Neurospora crassa OR74A: one gene and its partner. The protein of the gene in region 2 purifies or fractionates together with the protein of the main gene of each other region. This does not show direct contact. Links are inferred from orthologs where the notes say so. Each region holds a gene or a part of one and is shown on either strand. Other genes may lie near its edges.

What was found.
Region 1: the proteins of NCU09512 (region 2) and NCU02685 purify together in Saccharomyces cerevisiae (affinity purification with mass spectrometry; 7 studies listed by BioGRID, with this or other methods). This does not show direct contact. The link is inferred for Neurospora crassa OR74A from reciprocal best matches to the Saccharomyces cerevisiae genes LSM3 and BRR2.

The regions. Positions count from the first base shown.
Region 1 is NC_026501.1:3,194,151-3,198,765, reverse strand, and holds part of NCU02685 (pre-mRNA splicing helicase), read left to right. Parts: coding exon 1-4,211; 3' UTR 4,212-4,615.
Region 2 is NC_026503.1:55,410-58,741, forward strand, and holds NCU09512 (U6 small nuclear ribonucleoprotein), read right to left. Parts: upstream 1,984-3,332; 5' UTR 1,820-1,983; coding exon 1,697-1,819; intron 1,587-1,696; coding exon 1,494-1,586; intron 1,337-1,493; coding exon 1,259-1,336; 3' UTR 673-1,258; downstream 1-672. Other genes in the region: NCU09513 (GTP-binding protein 1), read left to right, coding at 12-367; NCU09511 (hypothetical protein), read left to right, coding at 2,403-3,332. UniProt on the Saccharomyces cerevisiae protein: Component of LSm protein complexes, which are involved in RNA processing and may function in a chaperone-like manner. Component of the cytoplasmic LSM1-LSM7 complex which is involved in mRNA degradation by activating the decapping step.

The DNA of each region.
Region 1 (4,615 bases), on a different chromosome or scaffold from region 2:
ACGCCGGAACCCGTGAAGTCCTGAGCGAAGCCTCCAACTCTGTCAACAACACCGATCTGAAGGATATCTTGCCCTATGGCTTCGGTATCCATCATGCTGGTATGAGTCGTGCTGATCGTACCGACGTCGAAGATTTGTTTGCCAGTGGCCATATCCAGGTTCTTGTGTGCACAGCCACTCTTGCTTGGGGTGTCAACCTTCCAGCCCATACCGTCATCATCAAGGGCACGCAAGTGTACTCGCCTGAAAAAGGTAGCTGGGTTGAGCTCAGTCCTCAGGATGTGCTGCAGATGCTTGGTCGTGCCGGTCGTCCTCAGTTCGACACCTATGGTGAAGGTATCATCATCACCACCCAGGGAGAGATGCAGTACTACCTTTCGCTCCTTAACCAGCAGTTACCCATTGAAAGTCAATTTGCTAGCAAGTTGGTTGATAACCTCAATGCTGAAATCGTGCTGGGCAATGTCAGAAGCCGTGACGAAGGTGTAGAGTGGCTTGGCTATACCTACCTCTTTGTTCGTATGCTTCGCTCTCCTGGTCTTTACCAAGTTGGGGCAGAGTACGAGGATGATGAAGCTTTGGAGCAAAAACGTGTCGACCTAATACATTCCGCTGCTACTGTGCTGAAAAAGTCAAATCTAATCAAGTATGACGAGAAGACCGGAAAGCTTCAGTCCACTGAACTTGGCCGCATCGCCTCGCACTACTACATCAGCTATGGTTCGATGGATACCTACAACAAGTTGATTCAACCCTCTATCACCGATGTCGAACTCTTCCGAGTATTCGCTCAGAGCGCCGAATTCAAGTACATTCCTGTTCGGCAAGAAGAAAAGCTGGAATTGGCCAAGCTCCTGGCAAAGGTACCCATTCCGGTCAAGGAGAGCATTGAGGAGCCTACCGCAAAGATCAACGTGTTGTTACAGGCGTTCATCTCTCGTCTGAAGCTGGAGGGTCTCGCCCTCATGGCTGACATGGTCTACGTTACGCAATCTGCTGGTCGTATTCTTCGGGCTATCTTTGAAATCACGATGAAGAAGGGATGGGCATCAGTTGCTAAGCTGGCCCTGAACCTGTGCAAGATGGCCGAGAAGAGGATGTGGCCAACCATGTCGCCGCTGAGACAGTTCCCCAACTGTCCTGTTGAGATTATCAGGAAGGCTGAAAGGATCGACGTGCCCTTTTCCAGCTACTTCGATCTGGACCCTCCTCGGATGGGCGAGCTTCTCGGACTACCCAAGGCGGGCAAGACTGTTTGCAGCCTGGTGGCCAAGTTCCCCCGCGTCGAGGTCCAAGCCCAGGTGCAGCCCATGACAAGGTCGATGCTGCGCATTGAGCTTGCGATCACGCCAAACTTCGAATGGGATGCCGATATCCATGGGCTTTCCGAGAGCTTTTGGATTATCGTAGAAGATTGCGATGGGGAAGACATTCTTTTCCATGATCAGTTCATCCTGCGCAAGGACTATGCGGAGTCCGAGTCCAACGAACACATTGTTGAATTCACTGTACCCATTACTGAGCCCATGCCCCCCAACTATTTTATCTCCGTCATTTCCGACAGGTGGATGCATTCCGAGACACGTCTGCCCGTGTCGTTCAGGAAACTCATTCTCCCAGAGAGATTCCCTCCTCACACCGAACTGCTTGACCTGCAACCACTACCGGTCAATGCCTTGAAGGCCAAGGACTATTCCGCGCTGTATCCTGATTGGCAACAATTCAACAAGGTGCAAACACAGACTTTCAAGTCCCTGTACGAGACTGACAACAACGTCCTCATCTGCTCACCAACGGGCAGTGGCAAGACTGTTTGTGCCGAGTTTGCCTTGCTGCGCCACTGGGCTAAGAAGGAACACGGCCGGGCCGTCTACATTGCACCTTTCCAGGAACTCGTAGATCTGCGATTCCAGGACTGGCAGAAGCGGTTTGCTAACCTCCGCGGCGGCAAGGACATTGTGAAGCTTACAGGAGAGACGACCACTGACCTTAGGCTCCTGGAGCAAGGCGACCTCATCATGGCCACACCGCTGCAGTGGGATGTCCTGTCGCGGCAGTGGAAGAGGAGGAAGAACGTTCAGACGGTAGAGCTTTTCATCGCTGACGAGCTGCACTTACTTGGTGGCCAGATGGGCTACGTCTACGAGATCATCGTCTCGCGGATGCACTATATCAGGACCCAAACGGAGTTGCCACTAAGGATTGTCGGCCTCAGTGTGTCTCTTGCCAACGCTCGTGATGTTGGCGAATGGATCGACGCGAAAAAGCACGACATTTACAACTTCAGCCCGCATGTGCGACCTATTCCATTGGAATTGCACATTCAGTCATACTCCATCCCCCACTTTCCGTCCCTCATGCTGGCGATGGCAAAGCCTACTTATCTGGCCGTTACTCAGCTTTCTCCCGACCAATCTGCTCTCATCTTCGTGCCCAGTCGGAAGCAAACAAGAGCCACGGCACGAGATATCCTCACCGCCTGCTTGGCTGACGATGATGAAGATCGTTTCCTTCATGTAGACGTTGAGCAGATCCAAAAGCTCCTTGATCGCGTTCAAGAAGCGGCATTAGCTGAGGCCCTGAAGCACGGTGTTGGTTACTACCACGAAGCCCTGAGTCTCAATGACAAGCGCATCGTCAAGCATCTCTATAACAACGGCGCCATCCAGGTGCTGATCGCCTCTCGCGATGTGTGCTGGGAGCTTGATTGCACTGCTCATCTGGTAGTTGTTATGGGCACCCAGTATTTCGAGGGCAGGGAGCACCGCTATGTTGATTATCCCCTGAGCGAGGTTTTGCAAATGTTTGGCAAGGCCCTCCAGCAGAATAAGGCTGGGCGTGGTTGCGGTGTCTTGATGGTTCCTGCGGTCAAGCGGGAGTATTACAAGAAGTTCCTCAACGAAGCCCTCCCTGTCGAGTCTCATCTGCACAATTTCCTCCACGATGCCTTCGTGACAGAAATCAGCACCAAGATGATTGAGTCAGGTGAAGATGCCATCAACTGGGCTACTTTTACTTACTTCTACCGCCGCCTGCTCGCCAACCCAAGCTACTACAGTTTGACAGACCCTACGCACGACGGTCTCAGCCAGTATCTCTCCGACATGGTTGAGGCTACCTTGAAGGATCTGGCCGAGTCCAAGATCATCGACTTCGATGAGGATGACGGCACCGTTGCTCCTCAGAACGCCGCCATGATTGCTGCTTACTACAACATCTCGTACATTACGATGCAAACCTTCCTTCTTTCGCTGACGGCAAAGACAAAGCTGAAGGGTATCCTCGAGATCGTGACGTCGGCTACCGAGTTTGAAGCGATCCAGATCAGAAGACATGAAGAAGTCATTCTGCGTCGCATTTACGAGAGTGTCCCCGTCAAGATGGCCGAGCCTGTCTTTGATTCACCGCATTTCAAGGCCTTCGTTCTCTTGCAGGCCCACTTCTCCAGGATGAACCTCCCCATCGATCTCGCAAAGGATCAAGAGGTCATCCTCACCAAGGTGCTCAGCCTGCTGAGCGCTACTGTTGACATTCTCTCGTCGGATGGTCACCTCAACGCCATGAACGCCATGGAAATGTCCCAGATGGTGGTGCAAGCGATGTGGGATCGGGATAGCCCGCTCAAGCAGATTCCCAACTTCACGACGGAGGTCATCAAAACGGCCAACAAGTACGGTATCCGAGACATCTTCGACTTTATGGAGAAGATGAACCCCGAGGAGAACGCCGACTACGCCTCTCTGGTCAGGGACCTTGGTCTGTCTCAGGCCCAGCTCGCCCAGGCTGCCGAGTTCACCAACAACAAGTACCCCGACGTCTCGTTGGAGTTCGAGCTTGAAGACAAGGACAACATTCGGGCGAACGAGCCTGCATACCTCAAGATCAACATTGAGCGCGAGGTTGATGAGGACGAGGAGTTTGATCCTACGGTGCACGCTCCGTTTTACCCTGGCAAGAAGACGGAGAATTGGTGGTTGGTGGTTGGCGAGGAGAGCTCCAAGACTCTGCTGGCGATCAAGCGGGTCACCATTGGCAAGAAGCTCAACGTCAGGCTGGAGTTTACGGTGCCTACGCCTGGTCGCCACGACCTGAAGCTAATGTTGATGAGCGACAGCTATGTCGGTGTTGATCAGGATCCGGCGTTTTCGGTCATGGTGGAGGAGGGAATGGATGTTGATGAGAGCGACGAGGAGGAGGAAGAGGAGGAGTAGGAGGAGTAGGAGGAGGAGGTGGTGGTGGACAATTGATAGGGAATGGAGACTGATTAGGTGTTTATGTATGGTAATGCAAGGCAAGTACTGACAACCCATCTACCTGGCAATTGAGGCGGTACGGTATATGTGGATGTGTATGACACAGGGGAAAAAAAAACGCAGTAGTTCAACGAGAATGCATCATCTTCGGTTATCTAGCAACCCTCCTCACCCATCGGTTCGCGGATACATGTGCCGGGTGGTTTTGGCACGCCTAGTGGTGCTTAGGGTGTCAGCTTCAGGCCCAAGTCTGGAGTGGTGCGGGGTTTCACGACCGCTGCGTGAGAGTGTCGGGAGAGGCCTGTCTGGGAATGTTTGGGGCTGGGCTGGGATGGGGGTTCCGGGTTGTGGATGGATGGAAA
Region 2 (3,332 bases):
ACGTGCACTAGTCCTCATCCTCTCCCACGCAACCACCATCAAAACCAAATACCAGGCCATGCTTCATGTCGGCCCCGTCTCCCAGACATGCGCCATCATCGACGTTGATCGTCCGTTTATCAGGACCGGCGATCGGGCTACCGTCGCGTTTCGGTTTGTCCAGAGACCCGAATACCTAGTCCCGGGAGACAGACTTCTCTTCAGAGAAGGCAGAACCAAGGGGTTGGGTATCGTCAAGAGTGTGGGGTATGATCCTGAACGGCCGTTGGGCGGGGTTAATGTAGGTGAAGGGGGTGATAAGGTGGCTGCGGGCGTTGAAGATGTCAAACATGAGGGTGGCGGTAACGAGGTGAAGGTTGGTGCTTAGTGACCTGGCACCTGGTGCTGATTTGGCGTTGGGCAGATGATGTTGTGATGACCCAAGTTGGGGGCCGCGTTACCTTTTTTTCTTTATACTTTCTTTGATGCATGGCCTCATCTCCTCGTTTTGATGGCTCATATACGGAGCGGCGCAGTCAGGGCACAGTACAGAACTAGTGGTGACCCACTACTTGCAGATATTCAAGTAGTAGTAGGAGTAGTAGTAGTAGTAGTATCATGGACGATATGGCTTTTGTATGTGTCGGTGGAAGATGAGTGACCTACAGGTATTCTCAAATGAACATATGAAAATTCTTGAGCAACGTACTGTATTCTTTGTACGAGCGATCCTTTTCAGCCTCCTCAGGAGGAAGGAGATTGCCTGGCTATCAATGCTCCATGGCCGGGAATAACAATGGTATATCTGTGCCGTGATCTATCTTTCGGCTCTAACGACAAACGATGAACGTGATGTGATGACGGTGATAGTCACATCTCAAGCCAACTTCTCTCCTTGTATCTCTCTCCTATCCTCTTCCCGAAGCTTGGTTACCGGTTTCCTTTGTAAGCGCCGCCCCTCTCGACCTTGAGGTAGCCACCACCTAGGTAGGTAGGCTTAGCGACGACCCATGTCCAACTCCCACTGAGACAAACCTTCGGCTGCTGACTGTCCAGAACCCTCCGCCGTTGCCGTTTCCTTTCCCTTCTCTTCCAAATGCTCCTCCTCTTCCCTATCTACCCCCTCCCAAAACTGCGCCTCATCCGCCACGTGCAATAAGTTCCACCTGCCGATGGGCAACCGGTCCTGGCCAAGCGGGCCACCGGAGAAGGGTTTGATGCCGTAGCGGTGGCGGAAATCGTGCTCGTCAACTGGTCGCTCCACATACACGGCCTCTTCTCAAGAACGGGTAAAGGGCGAGATGAGCACGACGGAATCGCCGCGAACGAAGAGCATTTCGGACTTGCGGGAGATGGTCTGCCTTTTTGTTAGTATATGAGAGTGACGGAAAGGGAAAGCAAAAAAGACAAACGAGGTATGAGAAGGAAAGGGGAAGGAGGGTGGGTATAATGGGAAAGGGGTGAGAGGTGGTTTGACGAGAGAGTGGCGGTGGGTAAGTGAAAAGATGGCATACCTTCAGGTCATCCTCCTCGGTATCTTCATCATCCACGACGTAAATGGTCTCTTCGACTTCCCCGAGGACAAGGTTGCAATGGGAGTCGTAGGCCTACATCACAGTATCCGAGTTAGCAATGAGTTCGGGTGGTGGTGAGTGAGGCGTAACGGGAAAGATGTGACGACTGAAAAGGGGATATGTAAACATAAGAGTGGACTTACGTGCAGACGGCCCTTGAGCTCCCGATCACCTCTCAGCTTGACGCAGACAACCTCGTCAAGCAAAAGGCGGACGAGGTCCATGGGCTCGGAAACAGAGCCGGCATCTTCTACTGCGTCGGCCATTTTGTGTGATGTGTGATATCAAAAGAGCCAAAAATAAATAACGAGTGAAGAGAGAGAAAAAAAAATGAAGTTGGCGTTGTGTTCCTGTTGTTGATGGCGGGGACCTCAGCTGCAGCGCCCTGGAACGATGATGAGTGAGTCCAGTGCCAGTGACGGACGGCGGGGGGTTTCCATGCCTGCCCGATTGGAAGCGCTCGCTTCGGTGCGAATTGAGGTCAGTGCCAGCTGGTCGCATGCCAAGAGCAACTGAAGCAGCCCGACGCACTGACCGCTTCCGAAGTGGAAGCTTGACCGGTTCTTAAACGCTTATGCCAGAGCTTCGGCTGGGCAAGGTCTTGGCAGGAACAGGCGCCCAAAGTGACAACAGGCCTTCCCCGGATTTGCAAAGGCGGGCATCGCGAGATCCATCGCACTTCTCCTCTTTGAGTTAGCGGGGTTGACTTACACCTCGACTTCAGTTAGTACCTAGGCACGCCCACCAGGGCACTCAGCTCCCCTTCAACACCACGGCCGAGCTTCAATTGCGGACGAAAGTCGCCAATGGGGGTGGTGTACAACGCCGTCAACCCCAATTTGCAACCCAATGGCTGCCCTTCTCTCCTGTCGTGGGGTTCGAGTTCCTTCTCCGAAATCTCGACGACTAGCCTCCGCCGTCAACAAGCTCCAGAAGCTCCCCCATTCTACGACCCAAACAGCAAAACCCATCTCAGCAATTCCATACCCAGGCAACTTTGCCCACCATGGATTCGGTCACCAACTTGACGGACCTCGACAGCCCCTCGAGCAAGATGAGCTCCTCCTCCTCCGAACCCTTCTCGCAAGACCCGTCGTCGCAAAGAAGCCACCTGTGACAAAACGGTCGCCTTGGATAGACGGCTTCACCGCGGCCTTCAGACAACCCCACAAAATGCTCACTTATTTCAAGGAGAACAAACTCGAGATCCTTCAACTTCCACCAACAGCATTCAGCGAACTTCTCCGCTCCGTTGACCCCGTCGAAGCCGTTCACAAAGACCAAGATCCGTTAGGAGACATATGGGTCGACCCAGCCATGGCCGATTGGTCCCCTTTGGGGGCTCTGGTCAATAATTACGGCGTCAGAAAAAGAAACACCGACCTTTACCCCCTAGTTCACGAAGCTGCCTTTCGTCGATTCCGCTCGGGTTCTCCCCTTCTTTTGTCCGACTACAAAGTCCTGCTGCGATGCGCCGGATCGATTTCGGACCCCCTCTTGGCTCGCAAGATCTGGTTCCACATGAACGTCTCTGAAAAGATGTGGGAGCGCCAGACGGACCTGTATGCCGAATTTCTCAAGGCCCGGTTCTTGACGGAACCGTTGTATACCCAACACAACCGGCATGACTTCCGCGTCAAGCCTGTAAACCTCTTTCCCGAGCAGCGGTTTCTGCCGTACTTCACGCCTGACAACTTGTCTCAGCTGCGACAGATGAACTTTGACAAGACCAACAAGCGGCTGGACAGGTTTGGGCAGAATCCTGGCGCAGAGCACAAG